Linked DNA regions of Danio rerio. The protein of the gene in region 1 purifies or fractionates together with the protein of each later gene. This does not show direct contact. Links are inferred from orthologs where the notes say so. Each region holds a gene or a part of one and is shown on either strand. Other genes may lie near its edges.

Evidence for each region.
Region 2: the proteins of lats1 (region 1) and sav1 purify together in Homo sapiens (affinity purification with western blotting; 3 studies listed by BioGRID). This does not show direct contact. The link is inferred for Danio rerio from reciprocal best matches to the Homo sapiens genes LATS1 and SAV1.

Annotation. Positions count from the first base shown.
Region 1 is NC_133195.1:1,290,077-1,293,905, forward strand, and holds part of lats1 (serine/threonine-protein kinase LATS1), read right to left. Parts: intron 1,850-3,829; coding exon 1,667-1,849; intron 1,455-1,666; coding exon 1,348-1,454; intron 1-1,347. UniProt on the Homo sapiens protein: Negative regulator of YAP1 in the Hippo signaling pathway that plays a pivotal role in organ size control and tumor suppression by restricting proliferation and promoting apoptosis.
Region 2 is NC_133188.1:40,261,606-40,266,188, forward strand, and holds the start of sav1 (protein salvador homolog 1), read right to left. Parts: upstream 2,822-4,583; 5' UTR 2,498-2,821; coding exon 2,404-2,497; intron 407-2,403; coding exon 1-406. UniProt on the Homo sapiens protein: Regulator of STK3/MST2 and STK4/MST1 in the Hippo signaling pathway which plays a pivotal role in organ size control and tumor suppression by restricting proliferation and promoting apoptosis.

The DNA.
Region 1 (3,829 bases):
ATAATTTTCACTAATTGTCCATGTAAAGCTTATTAGTACAACCAACAAATCCATCTAAAAAATGTTTAACAAAGTTAAAATTAACTATTTAGCAATATGGTTTAATTGTCTTCATTACATCCTTACGATTTGTTTACAAGTTCTCCGTGTTTTCATGCTTTAATGCACACATTTATAAATGTTGTTTATTATAGCTTTAAAACTGAGGCATTTTGATTGTCTTTAATTTAATATTTTTGATATTTCTCACTGCTATAATATTTTTTGTTCATGCTACATTGCATTTGTGAAAAGTATTTTGTTTTGCTTTGATTTTCAGAAGACTTGTAGATTAGTATCTCAATGTGAGTCTCAGATAAATAAATGACACCAAAAAATACTGTTTTTATATATAGATTATTCTAGATTAAAATAATCTAGAAGTTAAAGGTGTAGTTACCCTCTAAATAAATATTAATCTTGATTTAGAGAATTCTGAAAATTTATTGAACATTAGAAAACAAAATTACATTTAAAAAAAATAAATTTATTTTGTGCATAAATTTTGTTTATTCTAGCTTTTAAAACTTGTCTTTTTTAAAAGAATTGTTGTACTAATAAAAATATATAGAGAGTTTGACAAATTATTTAAATAAATAACTGAATTTTAATTTTAATTGGGCAAGTAAAAAAATTCCACTGATTATAACAGAAAAGTATTAGTGTTTTGCCCAGTGATAGTCTGAAATTTCATTGATAATGGTCTTAAAAAGGTCTTTAAAAGTCTTAAATTTGATGTGATGAAACCTGCAAAAACCCTGTTTTTACTCAGACATTTAAAAAGAGTATATATTAGAGCAGAAATCACAATACTGTGACATCGTGATGTTTTTATCCAAGGTTATCATACCATCAGATTCTTACACCGGCCCATGCCTATAACTGACTGCCAGATTTGAACACGTCATGCAGTTTAAAATAAAGATTTTTACTATTAAGGGAAAACCAAAATACTATTCTACAGAGCCCTGAGTGAAACTTTGTAACCCTCAATCAAGCGTTTTGATCACCTGCTATGAGTCTGTCACAGTGCTAAGGAGGAACCACCTTTCTAAGGTCACGCATCTCAATTTGATTCAGGTCAGGACTTTGACCAGACCACTCCAAAACCATTCAAACACTTTTCACTCCGGGCTAAGTAGTTTTCCCTTAATAATAAAAACCTCCATTTCGAAATGCCATGATGTGTTCAAATCAGAGTACAAATCTATACGGGGGCTTCATTGGGATTTACTTGCGCATTCGTTGATTTTGTTTGTTTATCTGTGTTTAATTAAGATTGGAGTTGAACTCATCAGGAGAACTCACCTTCATCTGCGTCTCCAGAGGAGTTGTGGCCAGAAACGGAGGCTGACCGACGACCATCTCATAGAGGATAACGCCAACACTCCACCAATCACACAGCTGCGTGTAGCCTAGGATTCAAAACAATTTATCAAGCAAAACAAACCATGTTCTAAAGTAATACAACTTTTTCTAATTCTTTCTCTACCCTAAATCATAACAGGAGATAGTGTGAAAAATGTCCTTGCTCTGCTAGACATCTCTTGGGAAATATTTGAAAAAGGGTCTAAATTTCACAGGAGGGCGAATAACTGAGTGTTCGGCTGTAATGTGCGGCTCATACCGGTGCGCAGCAGAACCTCGGGTGCGATGTAATTGGGCGTTCCCACTAGAGAGTGTGCCAGGCAGCGCTGGTGTTGTCTAGCCGCTCTGCGCTCCAGGGGCTTCAGGCGATCCCCGCAGCGGCAGTTTGCGGAATCTTCCCACTCCATACTGAAGTCCATGCTGTCCTGACGCACATGATCACCTGACGACACACACACACCGCAAGTCAACATCCAGACCTGTTTTTTACACCCGAGCTCTTATTTACAAACCGGGGTGGAAATGTGCATACAACACGCAAAGGTTGTGATCTATAAAAATAAAATGACAGGAGAATGTGCACAGCTGTAAATAAACACTAAGTAAATATGTTTACCTTAAATATTGACATGAATGATTTTAAATGATCATATGAGGTATAATCATTAATAACTAAATGTACAATTTATTCTGGTGTATTTTGCTTGTTGACACCACATATGTAAATTTAACTCCTCCTAAAATTAAAAATGCAAGTGAGTGTGCACGTGTTCTGGGCTATATGACCGCATAAGCAGCAATAACAGAAAGCACACAGATGACAGTCTGAGAAGTTTGTTTACTTTCTTTTTAAACATTTTTTCATTCATTCATTTTCAGCTTAGTCCCTTTATTAAACTGGGGGTCGCCACAGCGGAATGAACCGCCAACTTATCCAGCATTTGTTTTACGCAGTGGATGCCCTTCTAGCTGCAACCCATAACTGGGAAACATTTTTTTATTTAGTTTTAAATGATTAAATGAATATCATAGGGAAGCATTATTAATAGAGATGCAGCACACACCTGTAGCTGATCTCTGTCGACAGACATGAACAAAAACAGAAATATAGATCATTCCTTTACAATTATACGGCTGTCTGAAATACTGGGTTCTGATTGGTCAGTCGCAAAATTCCATGGTATGTTGTCGCCACTGGCTTGCTTGGTTTGGGACTTGTGGAGCTGCGCATGGATGGATTTGCTCTTCAGTGTTTAGGCTTTCAGCAGTGAACATTAAACCACACTGAACTGAACTCTGATAACTGGACTGACACAGCTTCAGTTTACGAGAACATCTGTGTTCAGCTGCTTTGACACAATCTACATTGTAAAAGCGCGAGAGAAATCAAGATATTTGTAGTGAATTAACATTGCTACCAAGTTTCTAGCATGAATTAGCATGTTTGTAGTAGTGTTGTCAAAAGTATCAAGTTCGGTACCAAACGGTACTGAAATTTTAAAAATGTTTAAGGGTCACGAAACACCAAAACACATGTGTTGAGCTGTTGACAGTGGTATATGTGTCCCACACTGCTAAAAACACTATTAGGACACCTATATTTCACTAAAAAGTGTAAATTGGTTGTTTTGCGTTATTTCAAGCAAATTCGTATTTCCGGTTTGAAACGAATTTTTGAAGCTGCGTCACGGTCATGACATAATAGCGTGTATTCCAGCGTGCAGACTGGACGTCTGTGCCAGAGTGAGTCTTATTACGTCTTACAGTGTGCTGCATTAATGCATGAGTAAAGCTTGGTTCAAACCAATCAGCGCGCTCTATTGTGCAACTTCATTAATATTCATTACTGTCACAGTGTTTAGACGACAGAGACGCCACGTTGTGTTGGCAAAACAAGCGTGAAGTGTTGCTTTTATAGTTTGCTGCAGTGAAGTTTTGTTTTCATTTTCTCTCTGTGAGAGCGCAGCTGGAGTCACGTGTGGATTAACAGTGTATGCGACGCTCGACAACAATAACTTACGTGTCTAAGGAGGATTATTGTTTACCTGAGAGCTGTTCTCATCTGCAAACGCTGAGATCCAGATTCGCTGCTCGTCTCCTCTTAATAAAGGCGCGGCTCTAGTTGCTGGTGATTGTCCTGTCTCTACAGATTTGGTAAGTGAGCGACCAGTGCTCTTTGTTTATTCAGTTTGTTTGTATCGAACTAACTATTGCACCGAGTGTAAACATGTTAACACTACAACCAAACTTTACCTTCGTGTAGGATTTTCACCGCATTTAGTGACCGGAATAACACACGCGGCTTTCTGACACTATCTGCCGTGTGCATCTAAGTTTCCGGGAAATGCGGAGGTTTTTTTTTCTCTCATTCGCCGTGCGGTATCAAACATTGCATGAAAAATACACGCTTAGAGCAGCTCCT
Region 2 (4,583 bases), on another chromosome or scaffold:
TTGAGTTCATTGTGGTCATAGTATCTGTAGTTCTCATTAAAGTGGTCTGGTCTGCGTGCTCGTCTGGGTTGGTTATTGTAGTATGGTTCTGGAGGATAGTAATACGGGCCGTTGTCTCCGTTCTCTGTTACAGAACTGGCATCGCTGATGTAGGATGGTGAGGAAGGGGAGTAATCACGATGAAGATGTGGCGGGGCAGACAGACGGTGACTCTCTCTGCGTGAAACCTCTAGCGGGGTCCGTGGAGGAGCATTGCGCAGGAAACTCTTAGGGCCGCTAACATCTCCAACAGATCCAGTGGTGTACGGACCGGGACCGGGACCAGGCACACCAGCCGAAACCGGCTCCACTAATGGAGGTTCGCGTCGAAGGAACGTTGGATGGCGGATAAATGAGGGCATCAAATCTGAGAACAAACAATGGGGGGAAACCTGGAGTAAGTGGATCAATGCATACTTTAAGGGATAGTTCACTCTAAAATAAAACATCTGTCATTATTACTCATCATTTGTCCAATCCCATATGAAAATCTTTGTTTTCCTGAACACAAATCAGGCCTGTAGCCAAGGGGGGTTTGGGTGGTTCAAAAGACAAACCTGCTACTGACAAAGTCCAAAATTTGACCCCCAAATGAGCTAATTTATCCCATTTTCACTGCTATGTTATCATAAATTGTGAAAATTATACACAGAAGAAGTCTTTAAGACTTAAATAATTTTAATAAAGTATTTATTTTAATAAAGTATTTATTTGCCCACAGGCTATAGTTTTTATTTTAAAACAAGTTTTACCAGATTCCTATTTTTTTAATGATGGATGATAATAAATTTGTATGTTAAACACTAATCTCATAACACTATTTATAAAACTGGATTAACTTACAATTTATATCCAAGCTTGTAAATAAACACTTCGTAGTAAAATACTATGGTGGGCACTTTGGACAAAATTGTAGTAAATATTTTTTTGTGCATCAAAATAGTGTGGTTATGATTACCATCCATCAAGCTGATCCAGCAAAGATTAGTTCTTAAAAAGTCACTAAAACGCATAATTGAATAGAAAATGAGGAAAATAACTGCAAAAAAGGTCAAATTTTCATTAAAAAGTACCACTCGTTTCAATAGGCTGGCGACAGGTCTGCAAATGAATGTATTTGGAAGAATGTCAGTAACTAAACAGATCTCGTAGCATATTTACACCCATTATGTTTACTTTTCCAATTTTTTCCTGACATTCTTTTAAATATCTTCCTTTGTGTGGATTAAAAACATTTAAATAATGTTCAGTTTCTTGCACTAGGAGATTATTTCAGCTTCATACAGTAAGATATCAGTGTATCGTCAGAAGCCAAAGGTATTAATTTTATTTTGTCTGTATATTGTTTTTTTTATTTTTTTATTCTCAAAGTGATGGTGGACCTTTTATTAGCATTTTATGATTTTCAGCTAAAAATCTTCTTTAATGTTTTCCTGAAGAAATAAAGTCTACTTAAAGATCATCAAGTGGCCTGAGAGTAACATAAAAGCTATACCTTTAAATTTCCGATATAGGTTTATAATATTACACTAAAAATGTCTAGAATAAGATACTAAACAAACATACAAGACAATTTTTAAGCATATAGATTTTCTAAACTACAATTATTTTCCATGTCTTCTAAACATCACTTTAAACACATTTCAAGATAAAACATAAAATTGAAGATAGTCTGATTTCTACAAAACACATTTGTTAACATCTTGCTGTTTTGATTACTGACTGATGAATTAGTCTCTCTTTTGATGCCATTCAATTATGCCGTTTTGACAATTTGATCCGAAATTTGGCAACAAATACAATGACAGTATTACCATATTGAACAATTATGTTTAATAATATACTGTGTTACTGCTGTGTGAAGATTTCCGAAATTTCAGTCAGTTTAAAAATAATTATTAGCAAAATATTAAGGTGTTCTTTAAAGAATAATTTTCTTAAACTGGGTAACGTTAAAGCAACAACATTCTACTTCTGGACCTTTGTATTTAAAGTAAATAAAAAGATATGACATTTTAAACTAATGACAACATATGCTAGTGGTAAGTGAAAATGGTTTTAGATTAAAGTATTAAATATGAGCAATGCCACATTATCTTTTGATTAATTCAAAACGTATAAACAGGACTATAATAATACAGGTCTATTAGGTTGATAGTTGTGACTGTACACATTGTGCTGGCTAATTGTTAAAGAGAATTATGTTACTTATTGAAAGCCTTATGCACTTAAAATTGTGTTTTACTCTCAGGGTTCTGATTTCAAACACGGTGTAATGACTACATTATATAACAATGTAGGATATTTAGTTTGCCATTTTTATATTTTGGGGATTTGTTTGGCAGATTGACTAAAATTACTCACTTCTCAGAAGAGGGGACGTTTCTTTCTTCACATATTTGCCCTGAACTTCGGGTGGTTTGGACGCTTCGTTTTTACTCTTCTTTCTGGAGAGCATTGTTAATCCGAATCGACTCTGGACCGATTAGACTTCGGTTTCATCCTGAAATCCGGATCCAGGTTGGCACTGACACGCGAAACCGAGTCCATTTCGGAGCGTTTAGCCCGATAGCTAATTTGGAGTCATCATGGCTACAGTCTGAAAACAAGCACAAAACTGGCCATTCGTTTGCGTTTAGTGGACGTTTGGCAGTTTTCGGTGTTTAGTCGAACATTACGAACTCTTTCCGACGATTAAATAACGTTAGTCTCCCCCGAGCGCTGTCCAAACAACACCCAGAGAAAAGCGCACGAAAACTTTTACCAGCTGAATGTCCAACCCAACCCAGCCCTCCACATCTCCTGCTGATCCCTGATCAGCTCTTACTGGATCTCGCGCCGCAGCCTGATCTCAGGTCAGTTGTTTAGACCCGAGCCTCACTTCAGATCAGCATACTTTATAGTCGGATTCAGTAATGTTTATTAGTCACTCTAAAAGAGTCCACATATTTCAATAATACCAGTTTACCCGCGCCCATAAGTGTCTTTAACCGCCTGATCCTAGATCAACTCTCTCTGGATCGCTCCCTCACCTTACCCTGATCCTAGATCAGATCTGCCGCAAGCCAGATCCTCAGGGAGCAAAGCATTGTGGGAAATATTTGACTCGAACTTTTTTTCTAGCACATATTTAAGGTTTACAGGACAGATATGCGATGGTTTATTTAACATGTAAGGTTAATTTGAAGGATAAAAGTGCTGCGTTGTCAGATAAATGTACAAAATAGGACCTAAAACCCCACAAATGAATGAATTTTCTTTTTTGAACAAACATTTTTTGAGAAACCTTCAGAGAAATCAAGTGACCCCATGGCCAAGCCCAGTGTCTCTGTATTTACCATTTACGTGTTTGAGTAAAACACACTATTTGTTTATTTTGGAACCTGATTACTTTTTATTTTTAAATTTAAAATGTTATTTATAATGGGCTTCACGGTGGCTCAGTGGTTAGCTTTGTCGCCTCACAGTAAAAAGGTTGCTGGTTTGAGCTCTGGGCCAGTTGGCATTTCTGTGTGGAGTTTGTATGTTCTCCCCGTGTTGGCGTGGGTTACCTCCAGGTGCTCCGGTTTCCCTCACCGTCCAAAAACATGCGGTACAGGTGAATTGAATAATGGCTGTAGTGTATCAGTGTAAATGTGAGTGTATGGGTGTTTCCAAGAGCTGATTTGCGGCTGGAAGGGCATCCGCTGCGTAACATTTGCTGGATAAGTTGGCGGTTCATTCTGCTGTGGCAAACCTTGATAATTAAAAGGACTAAGCAGAAGTAAAGGGAATAAATATAATTTAGAGAATTTTTAAATATATATATTTTAAATATTCATTTTTAAATACCAAAGTTTTAATCTCAAAACATATTTGATAGAATAACTCTGATTTTAATTAACAGCAAATTAACACATTTGTAATACTGGCAAAGTAATTTTTAGTTGATTTACATTTTTACGTTATCAAATAGGCCTACACAAATAAATATTTATTTATTTTAACTTTGGAATAAATGTCAAATGTATCTTACAGAATAAAATATTAGCATTTTACTCAAACACAAACTAATAAATCCTAACATATATATTTTTAAAAGATCTCTATATATTTATATAGGCAGCACGGTGTTGCAGTGGGTAGCACAATCGCCTCAGCAAGAAAGTCGGTGGTTTGAATCCTGGCTAGGTCAGTTGGCTTTTCTGTGTAGAGTTTGCATGTTGTCCCTGTGTTTGCGTGGGTTTCCTCTGGGTGCTCCGGTTTCCCCCACAAGTCCAAAGACATGGTACAGGTGAATTGGGTAAGCTGTACTGTTCGTAGTGAATGGGTGTGTATGGATGTTTCCCAGTGATGGGTTGCAGCAGGAAGGGCATCCACTGCGCAAAACATATGCAGAATAAGTTGGCAGTTCATTCCGCTGTGGCGACCCCAGATTAATAAAGGGACTAAGCCGAAAAGAAAACGAATGAATGAATGAATATATATATTTATATAAACATAAAACAATGCTAGAGAAATTAGTAATTTAGTAAACACATGTTCACATAAATAAAGAAGCAACT